Oryzias latipes: one gene and its partner. Each later gene encodes a partner of the first gene's protein in a complex. Links are inferred from orthologs where the notes say so. Each region holds a gene or a part of one and is shown on either strand. Other genes may lie near its edges.

Region 1 (7,453 bases):
CAAGTGTTTGAATCCACTTTGAACATGAACACCTACATTTTGATCAGAGCTTTATTCAAAAACAAAACTTTGTTCACATATTTATTACCTAGTTAGCAAATACTTTGTTCTAGTGATAATCACATTGTAGTGTAAATAGTTATGGAAGTTGCAGTTGGTTAACATTGTGGAAATTTTTTAGTACTTACTAAAACTTCAAAAGTGTTCATCTTTGATCCAAAAGTGTTTTCCAAAGTGCAATTAATCCTTCAACTGGAGGAAAGCTCTTATAAAAAAAAAAAAAACGCTTTGCTAAAGTTTCTATCGTTAAAGTTTTTTTTTTTTGTTGCAAAAGATTTAAATCAAACCTTAATAATTCTTGAAGAGAACACAGATTAAACTCAGACTGGCTTCTGGATTTGACCTTAATTCAGATGTTTGTGTTTTTAGCATGCCTGTACAAATGAGCGTTACCTTTCAGTGCTAAACCATGTGCACGCTGGAGCAGATTCCAGCTCAGGAAACCATTTGTACTCTAATGTAATTGAATTAAGAGAATTTCTCTGTGTATTTGATAAACCTAATCCAAAGTAACGTTAGTGGGTTAATGACTCATCTATAGTGACTTGGTTTGAAGCAGGTGTTTGAGAGTCAGTGCTTCTTTTTCTTCTGCTCCTGCAGGGTGCGCTGCAGCTCTCTCAAGTTTTCCGACAGGAGCTCGACTTCGTCCAGACGGCCGTTGAGCTTTGCGTCGAAGATGTAGGCCCTAATATTGTCGATCTGCTGCAGCAACAGCTCTTCTTCTATCATGTCCACGTCAGGCAAGTCGTCGTCGTCCTCCCCATCAAAAGGGTTGGTGGAGACGTCGGGCGAATTCCCAGGAGCCTCCATGAAAGGATTATTCCCATCTGCGTTGTCCTCCTCAAAAGGGTTCCCCAGAGCAGTGTCAGGCTGTTTCGCCTCCTCTGAATCTGCATCTTCTTCGAACGGGTTGTATTCGTTCTTACCATTTGTTACCCCACTGCGCTCCCTCTTGATGTCCTCAAAGAAGGGGTTAGAAGAGTCCTCCTCAGTGGGAGTAAGCTCCTCTTCTTCAAATGGGTTTAAAGGGCTGCTGCTTTTGGTTTCTCCACCAGGGGGAGTTATATGACCTCCCAGGCTCCTCAGTCTGGGTGGGGAGTCCTCTTGGGATGTTAGGGTTAGCAGCTCTGTGACAGCAAGGGCACTTGTTTCAGCTATAGGAGTTAAGATATCGTCTGCCGTGCCCTCGTCTTCCTTCCAGCCTCCCGCCTGGCTGATATCCAAAGAGGGCTCCCAGTTGATGGAGGGCTGGGTGGAGCTGACAGTGGAACCCCAATGCCTCCTATCTTCCATTTCCTGGGCCTCAAGGCGCTGGAGCTCCCCTTGCTGCAAGCTTTCCTCTTTTGCCAGCTTCTCTGAGAGCACGATGGCAATGCAGGTCTGCTGCTGGTCATATTCGTCTTGCAGCTGACGCAGGTTCTCCTCCAACATGGCTACCTCGTCGGCTTTCTGGGCCTCGCGTGCCTGACGAAGGAACGACTGAATGTTCTGGATCTGTTGCAGAAGGGGGTCTTCCAGCTCGCTCCGTGAATGGACGGACTCTGCGGAGGGCAACCAACCGCTGGCTTTGGTCATGCGTTGGGCTCTCCGGGCCTGAGGCAGCTCGCCATTAGCAGGAGAACAGATTTTTTCAGCCTCCTGCCTCCTCTTCAGAGCCTCCTGGGCAGCCTGTTCAGCACATGAGAGATTTTAAGGAGCTTCATTCAGCAGCAGGAAACATGCATAAAAATCAGGAGCTGTTACTGGATCTCACCAGTCTCTCTTGCTGGAGTCTCCGCTCCTGTTCTTGTTTCCTCTTTTTTTTCAGCTCTTCATATTTCTCCTTAGTGGGTAAAGACATCAGTCCCAACAGTTTCTCCTAAAAGAGGAAAAACAAAACAGCCAAATCAAGACTACAGGATGTTTATTCTGAAAATGTTGTTCTAAAGCAACTGGTTTTTGTAATATCCTAAAAGACTTTTTGGTCAAATGTTGTGTCTCACTAGGTTTAGCTCAAAGATGTAATCACCTGGACAAAGAGTGTAGCAGAGTAGCGGATCATCTTCTGCAGCTGTAGCGCCTTTGGGTGGGGTGGGGGTTCATCTTTAAGCCCAAGTGTTAAAATCTTCTTACTGACAATAAAAAGAGCTCAAATAAACACACACACAGAAAAAACAAACATTTGTGCTCCACAATGGAGGCATCCTTTCAGACTGACACATACCTCAGAGCATCGATTAATTCGTAGTATTTCTGCACCTCCAGTCTTAGTCCACCAGCAGTGTCCAGGTTGTACGTGGTTTCTCCGGCGCTTTAAAAGTTAAAAAGTCAGAATATGTGTTAAATGCAAAGTCACGTACCTGTACACAAATATGTCATTTTTTTTAACCCTTGTGCTATCCTAGGCACTTTAACATTGGGAGTTGGGTCATCTAGACCCACTAGACAGTGCTCTGAACCTTTTTTCTTCAATGATTTGTGATCTTCACTGGTGTCCATGGATTACATGAAATCTTTCCAACTTTGTCATGGTAGGGAGAACACGTCAATGTAAGGGTGGGGTCATCTAAGATAGCACAAGGGTTAAAAAATCCAAAACGTCTGAACAACAATGATTTTTGGTTGTGGTTTAGTTTGTTTAAAGCCCCACTCCTATAAAATGTGTGTTTTTACTGTGTTTTTGTATCATTTTGTCTTATGATGGAGAACATATATTAGTAAAATGAAGCTTAAAATAGCATTTGTGATTATTGTTTTATTCAAATTGTTGTGAATCTGTAGCAGACAAAAAAAAGGGCGTATTTGTGACAGAAAATATCCTGGGCGGGTTACAAGCTCCCTGCTCTGGTCCTTTCTGATGCACTTGTAGACGACTAGATCCGTGTACCTCTATGTTTTCCTCCTCTGAGCTGCCATCCGGCCCGAAACTGTACGGCTGGATGGCTTCAATATTGCTCGCCATTTTTGTTGTGGCTGTGATGGGTTCTAAGTTAGTGGGAGAGCGTGTAAATACAGAACTCTCAGTTATGGGTGATGGGTAGTGGGTGTGGGGTTGCTCCGTACCAACAGTCTTGCCCAAAACTCAGCGGTAAATTTCTAATGGACTAATTACTACCGCTCTGCAGAAATTAAGTCCTAGAAAACGACAGTTTTTTTTTATTTTGCCTAAATGGCAGAATCATAATTAAAAGACCACTGAATACGCTTTTAGCATAGATCAAGAGATGATGACAACATTGGGTGAGCTATGGTACTCTCCGGGGAAGCAGGTGTTTAAAAGAAACTTCTGCTTTTGGGAATCTGCAAACGGCAAATGCTGCGGAGGACTCTGACAGAGGCAAACAAAACTTTTCCATTCTCTGGGATGAAGATTTGCTATTGTGCTTCACTTCAGTTGACAATTGCATGACTTTGAAAATGTTATTTGCTGTCAGAGAGTTCACATTTGTGTGAACGTACAAGGGAATACAGAATTTAATGACTTCAAGGTTGCAGAGTTCTGCATTTATAATCTTTCCTTCACTGGTTTTGAGAGAGGGAGCTGGGATGCTAAAAACTCTAAGTAGTTATGAAGAGCAGAGACCTGGCAGAACTAGGCAACTTTGTCTGGGTTCATCATTTTAATGCACAATCCAAAATAGTTATTGCTGATCTTTATCTGAGGTTACACTCACTAATTACAAGTACCCAGTATGGTATTATGAATATTTCTACACTAGTTAGAAAAGAAAAAAAAAACTTGTACACAAAACTGTAGGAACTTTTGAATCCTGCTTACTTTAGAGATTCAGCCATTCGAATATAGTCAGGAGCTTTTTCATCCACCTTCACCATGCACATCATCAACCTCTGTCAGAAAAAAAGACTTTATTATAAGCAACTCCCACCCCATGACAAAAGATGAAAGAAAGATCAAAACACAATGGTTTTAACCCATAATAATCAAACTAACCTCATAAAGTTTCACTATGTCTGGAATGTTGTCCTTCTCGTCTAACTTTTGCTGTTTCTTCAGCAGCGTGTCCATACAGTGGTGACAGCAGCGGATCTTCTCGTCATCCTTTTCCTCCAGCATTGAGGTAACACTGCTCAAGCTGCTGATACTGCCTCTGCGCGAGCCCATACCACTGCTGCCACCTCCAGCAGGGAGAGTCTGGGTCTGGCCGGGACTTCCAGGGACACACAGAGCCTCCCGAGTCCCGTAAATGAGCTTCTCTGTAACAAGATGAAAGACATCTGGAAATGAGACACCTCTGATCCCACCTGAGTGCAGAAGTCTGTACTTCTGAGGCATTTTGATGCATACGGGCCAAAGGTAGGGGGACGAACTCCATGCATCTTCGGCACATGATGGAGCCACAGAGGCGACAGTGGTGCCGCCTGTTGCGGATGTTGAACTTGTTTCCGCAGTCGGGGCAGAACGGGACATCAGAGTCATTTACCCAAGACACCACGGACTTCTCGATCGCTACAGAGAAGAATAAAAACTCAGAACTCAAAAAGATTTCATTCTTAATGTTTAGACCAAAGAACCAATAAGCAAATAGTAACACACCTCTGATCTTAGCCGAGTCGGAGTTGACTCTGTCAAATGACGTCAACTGAAACATCAAATCGGAAAGTTAGATCAAATGTCCCAGCCATAAGGAGAATGATGCTTTTGAGGGCGTACCTTCTCCAGTCTAATGATGAGCTTGTTGACTTCAATGACATAGTGATCTATTCTGGCAGCACGATGTTTCTTAAAGATATCCAGGTGACTTCTTGTTGCTCCTATTAGAGTAAACAAAAACAATTCCAACAAATAAAAAACACGAAAAATACATGTGCTGCTCTGATATTAATACTTTCTTACCCAGTTCCTGAGGCTCCCACATATAAGGATCCACTCCACCATAGTAGAAAGACTCATAACTGCCCGTGTCGAGCCTGTCCTCTCCATCTCTCTTTAAAAGTTTATCTTTGGCTTTTTTTGCCTTCTGAACCAAACCTGAATCACACAGAAAGGTAACAAAATATTGTAAATTCACATAAGATATCTTTTTTTTTTTAAAGTATGACAATTGTTAAGGAAAGCTGGATTTTTTCAAATGTTAGATAGAAAGAAACACCAACTCCAAACAGCTACATTTAAGCTTATTAGCTGGATTGTCATATTGCAAAAAAGGGAATTTTATTACGTTTTTTCTTTTTTTCTGAAGCTGAATTCTGACTCGACCCTTACTTTTGAGCTGGCCTCGGACATGCCGGTCATCCCCTGAGTGCTCCTCCTCATAGTGGCCTTGGAGTTGGTAGAAAGACTGCAGGTCCTTCAGGCACAATGGGCAAAGGAAGCCCTCTTTTACTTCACCTGTGCCCTCGAAGGGGGGTGGGTAGCTGGAGGCCATGATGAGAGCTGGAAGCCTTGTTGTTTACCAGAAAGTGAAGGGCGGCATAATGAAGCTTCAACCCGCTGGTCACAATGTGTACAATGTTAGCCTCCTTAGCTTCATGATTCCTGAAAAATGTAAAGAGTGAACAGAAAGACAAAGCAGACTGAGGTTACACATAACTTCAGGCTTAATTGTGAAATCTCAGATATTTACAGTTAGGACTGAAAGTGGTTTTAGCTTAGTCAAAAAACAAAAATTAATGTAAAAAAGCGTTTAATTGCAATACTGTAAAAAGTCATTGTAATAACAAAGTCACCCTTATCCAACTGAAATGAGAGCTGCAATAGGAGGGCCACTGACTGCAAAAAAGATCCCAACTGATGACTATGAAAGGTTGAAGAGGTTTAAAGGCAGTGGCTCATATTAACTACCCTTGCACTAATCATTTGTGTACAATCATCAGGAGTGCACAACCGTCACAAAGCCCTCTTCTCTGTCGGTAACACAAAGCTACAAGCCTGGCCGCACTGCTCCTAGCATGTGTCTCTTAGCAGCCGGACACACGGAGAAAGCAGTGACGTCATCGCCCCGCCTCCCCTCTGGAAATGCTAAGTCGAATTGAATTATGCGACAGTATTCGCAGGGTGGATGTTAAAATGAAAATGCAATCCCCTCTTTGCATTTTCGTTTTAATTACGACACAGAATAACCGGTTTTTAAGTAGAAAATGAAAAAGCATTTTGAAGTATTGAATTTTCATTTTAATTTGGAGTCATTTGATGCAGTTACATTATGAAAATGAAAAAGCATTTCTGTTAATCCATTTTAATTCTCAAATTAGACATTTCTAAATGAATTTTGCTACACATTTACCAGAGAACCTTTTGAAAATGAGATGTCAAATACCATTTACATTATCATTTTAATTAAGTGACAGAAAAAGCGGTGTTGAAGAAGAAAAGGAAAAAGCATTTTGAAGGATTGCTTTTTCATTTTAATTTTGAGTCAAAACATGCAGTTACATTTTGAAAATGAAAAAGCATTTCTGGTTTTGACTTTCATTTTTAATTATGCTACAAAATCGCTTCCATAATGTACAACAAACGTGTGAATGCATAGGGGAAAGAAAGACAGAAAAAAATTCAAATTCACAGAATTTATGTAGAGCCATAGTGCATCACATGACAAAACAAAAATTAACAAGGAGCCACAGAGATGTTGTTTTTTTAAGTACCTTTTTAACAATGAAATGAGTCGAAGCAGCCAGTTTTGTTGTCATTTGATTGATGTTACCATATTGCATTGGTTAAGTGTATTAGGTTTGGGGTTTGATCATTTCCTTTATGAATATGAAATGTCCCCAATAATAAAGTTAGTTGTCTTTTTAAACTAAAGTTCTGGTCCATTTCGTCATTATAACAGCCCGATTTATGCTCTGATAATGATTCATGTTTGTAATGGACGCTCTTTGATTACGTTTATTTACAGGGACTGAGATGAGCCCAAAAATCCCATCGGTCCATTTCTAATATTTATAACCAGAAGATTGTTTTAAAAATTAAATTCTGCAACTTTGAGAAAAAACGTTTTTCTTTAAATTACTATAACAAAGCATTTTTTATATTCAGAATAAAAACTTAAAATCTTGCTACACGGAAAGTTACAGCTGTGCTAGCAAGCATCCCTGTTTGACATTTCATATTAAGGTTTGCTTTAGTCTAAGGCGCGAAACGGAGGGAATTGCCAGAAGGAAAAGATCCGTGTTTTCAAATACAATGCGTTGAGTTAAAAGCAAAATTTTATACCGCTATTCCAAGCAACGAAGGAACGGTTTAGCCGTAAATGATGCTAGCATATAATGAGGGTTCGCAATCTTTACCGCTATTTTCCCTCTAATTTGCAGGCAGATCCAACAAAAACTTCATAACTAGATAAACATATAATCATATACCTTCCCCTCCAGACGAAGAAGAGTTCATATGCTGAAGTGTATCCGACAATAAGTCTGCTGTTGACAATTTTTGACAGCTCCAAAGCAGCAG
Region 2 (8,744 bases), on another chromosome or scaffold:
CCACCTTCCTGACTCTCCACGTCAGAGGCGTTGCCTGAAGAGCTGTCCTGTTAAATAACAGAGAGGGGGGTACAAAAAAAAAAACACGCTTATAAAAGAAAATTAAAGAGGTCTGTAATCTTTCTTTACACAAAAACTGAAGTAAATTATAAGTTTTCAAATTTTTTTAAGAACTTTTAACACTTAAATCAACTTGCCTGATTTCAAAATTCCACCAAACATATTATTTAGAAAGCAGAAAAGAGTTATTGGCACTTAGATATATATATACATGTGCACAGAATACACTCTTACGGAAGAGTTCTTGCTCTTCTTGTCGTCTTTGCCGTCGTCAGCATCGTCCGAGTCAGGTTCAGAGTCCAGAGCAGGAAGCTCTGGATCCAGAGGAGGCTCAAACAGAGCAGTGTTTAATGGCAAGTAGCGCAGCTCATTGGGTGAGTACCTGGCACAAACAACACAATCGTGTATCTAAAATCTATTTACCGTTAACTGAGAGACTACTGTCACTTACGAAGAGCTAACAGTTATGGAACGTACCTTTTATAGTAATCTTGGAATTGACCTGGGATAAGAGCAACAGGGTAGGGTCCTGTTCTGGTTAGTTCTGGAGCAAGAACTTTGAACCTTCCCTGGGGCACCTGAATAACCTGAGACAAAAAGCAGAGGACAAAAAGGAGTTGCATCAGTCAAAAGCTCAACCAACGTTGCACTGATGCAGATTTATTAAACCATCTGCCATTAGACTTACGTGAGTCTGGAGGTCAAAGTAAGCTCTCCTCTCTTCCATTCGCTCCCTGTTGAAGATGCTGTTAAACTCAGCAGCTTTTTTTGCAGCTTTCTTTATGTACTCAGGAACCTTGCTTGCCTCCACTTTCTGAGGGTTCTGCTGCTGCATTTGCTGCAAAAGCACAAGAGAGTACAACTATTTGTTCGTGCGTTTCGACAATTTCTAATAAAAACTAAAGGTTGTTCTAGTCTGGTGTTCTTACAGAGTACTCCTTAGCTATTCTCTGACGCTCCTTTTCCTGCAATATCACAGAGTACTCAGAGTGTTTGGTTGGATACTCCTTTATCATCAAGTCGATCACTTCATCGCTCCGCAAAGCTGTCAATCCTGCATATAAATACAACAGCACTACATTATGTAAGAAATATAAATAAATGTATGAAGTCTGTGCATTAACAAAGAGTTTTAGGGTTGGCTCGTACCCAGGGTGCACTGCGTCTCAGTGATAACATTTTGCTCACGTAGGTAGAGCTTTTCTTTGTGAGACAGGTCTCTCCTCTCCATATCTGCACAAGAATGTTAAAAAAAATTCCCTGGTCAAAACATAATTTGGGCAGTTGCTAAATCAACCGCACTTAAACATTTCCTTTCCTGATCATTTTGTGAATTATTGTTCAATTCTTACCAGGATATTTGCGTTTGAATGACGTGACACCCAAATACTCGCTGATTTGTTCTTGCAGCATGTAATATTCTCCTGTATCATCAGGAGGCCATTTATACTCTATTAGGTTTTCTGCTGGGAAATAAGTCACCCTAGATGAGGAGGTGGGGGCAGGAACAACACATTAGATTTATAAGTTGGTATCTGACGCAATTACTTAAGAATAATGGCAAATTGTAATGCAAAAACAAGTAGCCTACCCAAGCTCTTGGCTGAAGGTGTCACAGCTCCGAGAGCTGTCCCCTGAACCCATTCTCCTCCTTTTCGGTGGCTGGCTCCCATCATTAGATACCTCATCAATTACATCTTCCTACAGAAGTGGAAAAAAGATTCACCAACATTTTTTTTCAAACAGATGAACACCAAAATATATAGAATCGAAAAGCTTATTGTACGGAGCCCCTAAAGGGCCATTGATGAAAAAAAAAAAATGGAGGAAAAAATTTTTTTTTTGAAGTAAAAAAAAATTCTCTTGGAGTAAAAAAAATTCTTTTGGAGTAAAAAAAATTTTTTTTGAAGTAAATAGGAAAAAAAAAACTAACTGGTGCCCACCTGAAACTAACTGGTGCGCACCAGTTAGTTAGTTTCAGGTGCACACCAGTTAGTATCAGGTGCGCACCAGTTAGTTTCAGGTGCGCACCAGTTAGTATCAGGTGCGCACCAGTTAGTATCAGGTGCGCACCAGTTAGTATCAGGTGCGCACCAGTTAGTATCAGGTGCGCACCAGTTAGTATCAGGTGCGCACCAGTTAGTATCAGGTGCGCACCAGTTAGTTTCAGGTGCGCACCAGTTAGTATCAGGTGCGCACCAGTTAGTATCAGGTGCGCACCAGTTAGTTTCAGGTGCGCACCAGTTAGTTTCAGGTGCGCACCAGTTAGTATCAGGTGCCCACCAGTTAGTTTCAGGTGCGCACCAGTTAGTATCAGGTGCCCACCAGTTAGTTTCAGCTGCGCACCAATTAGTTTCAGGTGACATTATGACATTGTCAGTAATATTTCGTGTTTTCAGAAAGTTTATAAGGTCCATATCCTCAACTTTAGCCATTCTCAAGACAACTGTAGCTACTTGGTGCACAATGAGCAAGCAGGTCAACTATCTGATATCTTCTGATACTAACTGGTGCGCACCTGAAACTAACTGGTGCGCACCTGATACTAACTGGTGCGCACCTGAAACTAACTGGTGCGCACCAGTTAGTTTTTTTTCCTATTTACTTCAAAAAAAAAATTTTTAGCTCAAAGAATTTTTTTTTACTTCAAAAAAAAAAAATTTCCTCAAGTTTTTTTTTTTTTCATCAATGGCCCTTTAGGGGCTCCGTATTATTGTGAAAATGGGAACATGTGCAAAACTAGTTTGACTAGGATTACACAGGGAAAAAATTAGCAACACTTTATATTTAAATGGCTACACAATCTAGTTTTTTTTTATTTATATATTTTTTCAACGTTGCAAACTAATAGAGAAATACACGAATAATAGGAGCAAATTACTTCAAGAGGAAGTAATTTGAGCACATTTGAAAACAAATGATTTTGCTAAAAGTGGCTGACAGTTGTCCTAGTGAATGGAAACGTCCGTTGGCTAGCTAGCTATCTGTTAGCAAAACATCGTCATGTTTCCCCGTAAACAACAGCTAATGGATATTTATCAAAGTAGAAAAAAATCACCTTCATGGAGTGCGCCCCAGGAGTAGCGGGACTGCTATCACTTGGTGGTCTAATAATAGGGAATAATGTAGCCATTTTAAGATAAATAATGCCCACAGCTAGGCTAATGATTAGCGGGGGAAACTACGTTTCTTCTTCTTTGGACAACCACGGACTCGGTTGACGTTTGTGTAAATTCAGAGCGCCACCTCCTAGATCCTCCAAAAAATATGTTAAAAAGAGAGAATTTGTACACAACATGCAAACCAATTAATTTACATATAGATAAAACTCTCAGCGAAATGGGCTGTTTTTAAAATTTACTTAGAACGGCGAGAATTTATTTTTCATTAATTGAAACCATAAGAACATATCCAAACATCACCCCCACGCGGTAGTTTGAGGACTATGTGGCATAAGTGTCATTTCAGAATGCTTTTATTTTGAAGAAAAAAAACCCACACACACCGTACAGGAAGTTGGAGGAGGAAATCATAGAATCCAAGGAAATCACCAACAGGACTATTTCCATCACTTAGCAAGCTAAACAAATAACAGTTTCGCCTTTCTCTGCCTTGCAGCTTAGCTGACACACCGAGGATGTCGGAGTCTTACGGTAAGGAGGCTGTCTTGCTTTATACCCGTTAGAATCTCACACACAGATGGCAGGAAAGGGATGATGAGGTCCCTTCGTAAACAAATAGCTAGCTGGCAGGCTAACCGAGCCACTGAGGAGTAGGAAGGTTTTGGCCTTTAAACTCAAATGTCAGCGTTAATAAATCTGCCTTCCGGGTACAGGTGTATTAGTAAAGCTTTATAATGCAAGAAGCTGTGACTATAGGAGATGCTATTGTTCCCGGGATAAGCACTAGGACACAAAGCAAGAGACTCCCGCTTTTCTTTTGCAAACGCAAGTGATGATAGGATATCTCTGTGTTTTGTGAGGCATTGCTCAAATTACACTATGCTACAACTGTTCAATCAATTGAACCAACATTAAACATGATAATTATCTTAGTGGGAGTAAAGAATAAATATATATATATAAGGCTTTGTTCGATCTGTTTACGACACATTTGTCTTGATTTGTATAGTGTAGACATCAGATGTGTACATGTCAACAACTGTATCAAAAAAAAATTAAGAATAGTTGAGTTTATTAATAACAAGGCAGCATATTCAAACCCTGTTTGCTTTATCTATGTTACTACTGTGTTCCCTCTGCAGACTTTCTGTTTAAATTCCTAGTGATTGGAAATGCTGGAACAGGCAAATCCTGCCTTCTGCACCAGTTCATAGAAAAGAGATGTAAGTTTGCTTCAGTTGTAATCACTAGAAAAAGCTTTATAATAATGACACAGTAATTGCCCGACTCTTTTATTTAAATATCTTTAAGGTCCCACTCAAAGACAGTCGTTATTTGTGTGTTTTTAACATATTTTTGTGACATTTTGTTCTCATTATAATGGACATTTATGTAAAAATTAAGCCTAAAATTGCATCTCTGAGTATTTCTTTATTCAAATCACTGTGATTCAGGACCAGTTGCTTGTAGATGTGACATAGAAGCTACTATGGCGAGCTACAAGCTCCCTGCTCCGCTTCAATCCGATGCATCCACTTGTAAACAAATAGATCCATGAACGTCTTCATTTTCCTCGTGTGAGCTAACATCTAGCTTAAAACTGTACAGCTGAATAGCTCTAATATTGCTCGCCATTTTTGTTGCACCACTAATGTTGAGGGGGTGTGAGGGGCTGTAAGCTAGAGGAGTGTAAACAAAAGGAAGATGGGAAAGGTCCCAGTCCCGTCCACAACTCAAAGATTCATTTTTTAATAACCTACTGCCGCTCTGCAGATACTATGTCCAACACAACAAGAGTTTGTTTGCTTTTTTCAATTTTGGCTAAAACAGCATAAACATTATTTAAAAACTACTGAAAACGCTTTTACAATAGTTCAAAAGATGATCGGAGTGGGACTTTAAGCAAATCTTGATGAATATTTTTAGTTTGACTCTTATTTTTTAAACAGATTTTAGCAAAGCAGTCACAATCTTTATCAGATTAAAAAAGGGCATTTTATTTTTGTAAACAGTAGGTCATTTTAAGGTGTTGAAAATATATGACTTACATGTGATATTTATGATTTTCCAGTCAAAGATGAGTCCAACCACACAATTGGAGTGGAGTTTGGCTCCAAGATTATTAGTGTGGTGAACAAAATGGTCAAACTTCAGATTTGGGACACTGCAGGTCAAGAACGTTTCAGGTAGCTAAACATCTTTAAAAATTCCTTCTACATTGTGGATGTTGCGTTTTTAGAGATGTCGGCGGTGCACAGCTACAACTTTTTTTTTTCCATTTCTGTCTTAAATTGGCAATAATTACTAAATGGATTTGGTATGCATTTGCTTAAGTGTCAACAATGTTCCCTTTAACCAGTATATGTTTGTCAGGTCCGTCACCAGGAGCTACTACAGAGGAGCAGCAGGAGCTTTGCTGGTCTATGATATCACCAGGTAAGACGAGGTGCGTTATTCTTTTATTATGTATACTTTGACTGCTTAACCATTTGTTTTGTTGTTTTTGTGGCTTCAGTCGAGAAACCTACAACGCCTTAACCACGTGGTTAAGTGATGCTAGGATGCTGGCCAGTCAAAACATTGTAATTATCCTGTGTGGGAACAAAAAGGATCTAGATGCTGACAGAGAGGTCACGTTTCTGGAGGCGTCACGCTTCGCTCAGGAAAATGGTTCGATCTTAAGTTTATAATCCTTAGCTAAAAACTATACAGTTAACTTTCATTATACGTAATTACTCAATGGTTTACTGTTTAGCACTGACTGGCCATTAGTGTGGAATAATCATCAGCGGTTTTCATAGCGGCTGCTCTCATCCTTACTCTGTGTTTGTGGCAGAGTTAATGTTCCTGGAGACCAGCGCTCTCACAGGAGAGAATGTTGAAGAAGCCTTTGTCCAGTGTGCCCGGAAAATCCTGAATAAAATAGAGTCAGGTGAGGAGTTCTAATCTTTGCCCACATTTGTTAAACACAATTTCCAAATCCCTTCTTATCCTAATGGGATAGTCCAAGCTCAGGTGGAGCTCAGGGCTTCAGTGAGCTAGTCTGGAGTGTTGGACCAGCTGGTCCAAAAGTCTGTAGTGGGGATGAAACCTCTGTAGGTTGTTTTCTCTTTATCTCTATTAATCAGCACCATTTCTCTACTCTTAGGAGAGCTAGATCCAGAGAGGATGGGGTCAGGAATCCAATATGGGGACGCTGCGTTACGCCAGCTTCGTTCTCCTCGCCGTGCTCAGCCGCAGGGCACCCAGGAATGTGGCTGCTAGTGGACGTCCTGTTACATAGCCCTTTGAAGGTAAACGTGTTGCTGTGGGATCCCAGAGTGTCTCGGACCTCTGACATTTTTTTTGGAGTTAATTTTCAGGTACGGAAAGGGAGCCGATCGCCTCCTGTGGTTATGACAGTTGTGCTCAGTATAGCACAGAATTACACAGTCAGAGAAAATAGATAAATATTAGGATGAAATTTATGCAAGAAAACCAGGACTGATGACATTTATCTTACTATGTATATCAAATCCTAAAACAGTATTAAAATCTGCACTATGTTTTCATTGACAGCTGTTATCTACTGGATCAGTACAGAGCTGTATTCAGAGAAAAAAAATGGATCGGACCATTTATTGACATGAACTTGGATTTAGGCAACCAGTTACAGTTAGTCTGCAGTTTGTTTTTCTGAAACAATAGTTGTAGGTTATGTTGAATATCAACTTTGCAAAAAGTGTTGATGCACCTCAGTGTAATTCTTCCTGCAATGCTATTTACTATAGTATGTTTGTGTGTCTTTTTCTCCACGTTTGATTTTGTTTTGTTTTTGGAAACAAGTTTGTGAAGACCAGAAGAAGAGCAGCCACATAGAACCTCCACGAATGCAGATGCGGGGGGCTTGCCGTGCCGGTTACTCCACCTTCCTCCAACTTTTGCACGGACCCTTCAGAGCATCTGTTGTCATTTTTGCATGTGCGGAGAGCTGTGAAGACCCCGCCCCCAGCTAAGGAACCCAGAAGACCACACTCATCTTCAAAAACAGAAACATAATTTAAAGCTGGACCAAAATCTCTCTGGCTCTGTGGCGAGAAGGTTTCTCCTCAGACGTAGCTCCCTGCTTGTCACCTGCTCTCCAAGCCTGTTAGACTTTCCTCTATCTATTCATAAAGACGGTTCCTGTCAATCATATTTAAAGTAAAGGTAGTTCAATTCAAGGTAGTTCAATTAAAATAAAAAGTTGACAGTTTTCAAACACATACTTTTGACACTACTAGCACTTGCTATGGTTTGGTGCAAAGTTCATTAAATAAAAGATAATCTCCCTATTTTTAAGCATGAAATAAATCACCCAAATTACTAAAATTCCATTTTTTTCCCAACTAATAGCACTCCTTGTTTATCGCGCACCTGCTCTTCTTTACCCAAGTGAAGCTTCTCACTCCACACTGTGCAGCTATGGAAGCACATTTCATCAGCTAAGCTAACCCTAATTTGTTTATAGTCCTCATCCACTTCCTCTTCTCCCTGCAGAATGTTGTACAGTGCTGCTGTGACCGATGCATGCTTTTCAAGCAAATTATCAGAGTGTTTCATTATATAAAGAGATATTAAGGTGTCAATTAAATAGGTTTTCAGCTCTGCTCATTAAAATGTGGAGCTGTGCCTCACAGGAAAGCTGTGCTAGAACTTTGTATTTTCATGAATTTGGCAGTAACGCATTGCTTTATCAGAAAAAAAGAAAAAAAATAGAGTCCATGAGGGGACAGAATGCTGTCAGCTGTAGAGAGACTAAGAGTTGTATCATGAGATTTATCAGTTGTGCGTTTTGTTTTGTCAAATCTGGTCAAAAACAAAGAATTTTACTTTGGAGATTATATCACTTTACAACTCGTACACTAAACTGTTGCAGGTGCAGACATTTCAAAGGAAACAGACATTTTTCAATGCGAAATGCCTCCAGAGGTGTATCTGAGAGCAGCATAGTTTGTGTCACGTGAGGTTGTCGTCTTGTGTTTGTGTCATGAAGCCTCATTTCTAATGATCTGTGTGTGTGTTTTCTCCTTTCATTATAAATATCATATATTTTTAATTTATTGTGTATGACGAAAAGCTATGTTTTTGAAATAAAAACCAACACAAATGCACTTCTTTTTTGTTTTTTATTGTATTGCCGTTGACCAAGCTGACAGGAAGTCATCTGCAATGATGAAATGCATTCTGTTCCACTATTTAAGAAACAGAATTACTAAAGTGTTTCTTGTTGTACAAGCACAAAAAAAACATGTCGATGTGGAAAAAAATAATATTTATAGGTGCTTCGTTTTTATTTTGGTCTGTTTGCACAATTGTTTTCCTTTTTTACTCATTTTAAAAGTTCATCAAATATTAAAAAGACACTGATATGTAGTTACTGTGAAATATTGCACAACACTAGAAGACACTGAAAATGTATCTACAACATGTAAATATGTGCTGGAAGAATGAAGGTACTTTTGCAACAAACCTTTTTTTTTAAACAGATTTTTGAGCTTTTTTCCTTAAAAACAAACTTTTTTTTAGTTTAACCATTTCACT

Evidence for each region.
Region 2: the proteins of rbsn (region 1) and rab4a are in contact, whole or in part, in a crystal structure (PDB 1Z0K), measured with the Homo sapiens proteins. The link is inferred for Oryzias latipes from reciprocal best matches to the Homo sapiens genes RBSN and RAB4A. Residues at the interface, in NP_001289307.1 of Homo sapiens: Glu441, Gly442, Trp443, Leu444, Pro445, Ser447, Glu454, Pro458, Leu459, Gln461, Gln462, Asn465, Ile466, Phe469, Asp480, Glu481, Thr484, Leu485, Asn488, Leu492, Glu495, Gln499; in NP_004569.2 of Homo sapiens: Tyr10, Leu30, His31, Ile34, Glu35, Ile46, Gly47, Val48, Glu49, Phe50, Gly51, Ser52, Lys53, Lys63, Gln65, Trp67, Arg74, Phe75, Ser77, Val78, Ser81, Tyr82.

The regions. Positions count from the first base shown.
Region 1 is NC_019865.2:17,020,311-17,027,763, forward strand, and holds part of rbsn (rabenosyn-5), read right to left. Parts: 5' UTR 7,363-7,453; intron 5,537-7,362; 5' UTR 5,427-5,536; coding exon 5,264-5,426; intron 5,030-5,263; coding exon 4,895-5,029; intron 4,813-4,894; coding exon 4,712-4,812; intron 4,641-4,711; coding exon 4,595-4,640; intron 4,508-4,594; coding exon 4,346-4,507; intron 4,255-4,345; coding exon 3,992-4,254; intron 3,889-3,991; coding exon 3,818-3,888; intron 2,351-3,817; coding exon 2,264-2,350; intron 2,172-2,263; coding exon 2,069-2,171; intron 1,919-2,068; coding exon 1,814-1,918; intron 1,729-1,813; coding exon 631-1,728; 3' UTR 1-630. UniProt on the Homo sapiens protein: Rab4/Rab5 effector protein acting in early endocytic membrane fusion and membrane trafficking of recycling endosomes. Required for endosome fusion either homotypically or with clathrin coated vesicles.
Region 2 is NC_019861.2:24,495,464-24,504,207, forward strand, and holds rab4a (ras-related protein Rab-4A), read left to right. Parts: upstream 1-3,563; 5' UTR 3,564-3,697; coding exon 3,698-3,713; intron 3,714-4,324; coding exon 4,325-4,405; intron 4,406-5,253; coding exon 5,254-5,368; intron 5,369-5,555; coding exon 5,556-5,618; intron 5,619-5,697; coding exon 5,698-5,852; intron 5,853-6,018; coding exon 6,019-6,114; intron 6,115-6,330; coding exon 6,331-6,446; 3' UTR 6,447-6,475; intron 6,476-7,007; 3' UTR 7,008-7,020; downstream 7,021-8,744. Other genes in the region: phf10 (PHD finger protein 10), read right to left, coding at 1-47, 295-442, 538-647, 749-898, 990-1,114, 1,210-1,293, 1,413-1,543, 1,652-1,761 and 1 more. UniProt on the Homo sapiens protein: The small GTPases Rab are key regulators of intracellular membrane trafficking, from the formation of transport vesicles to their fusion with membranes.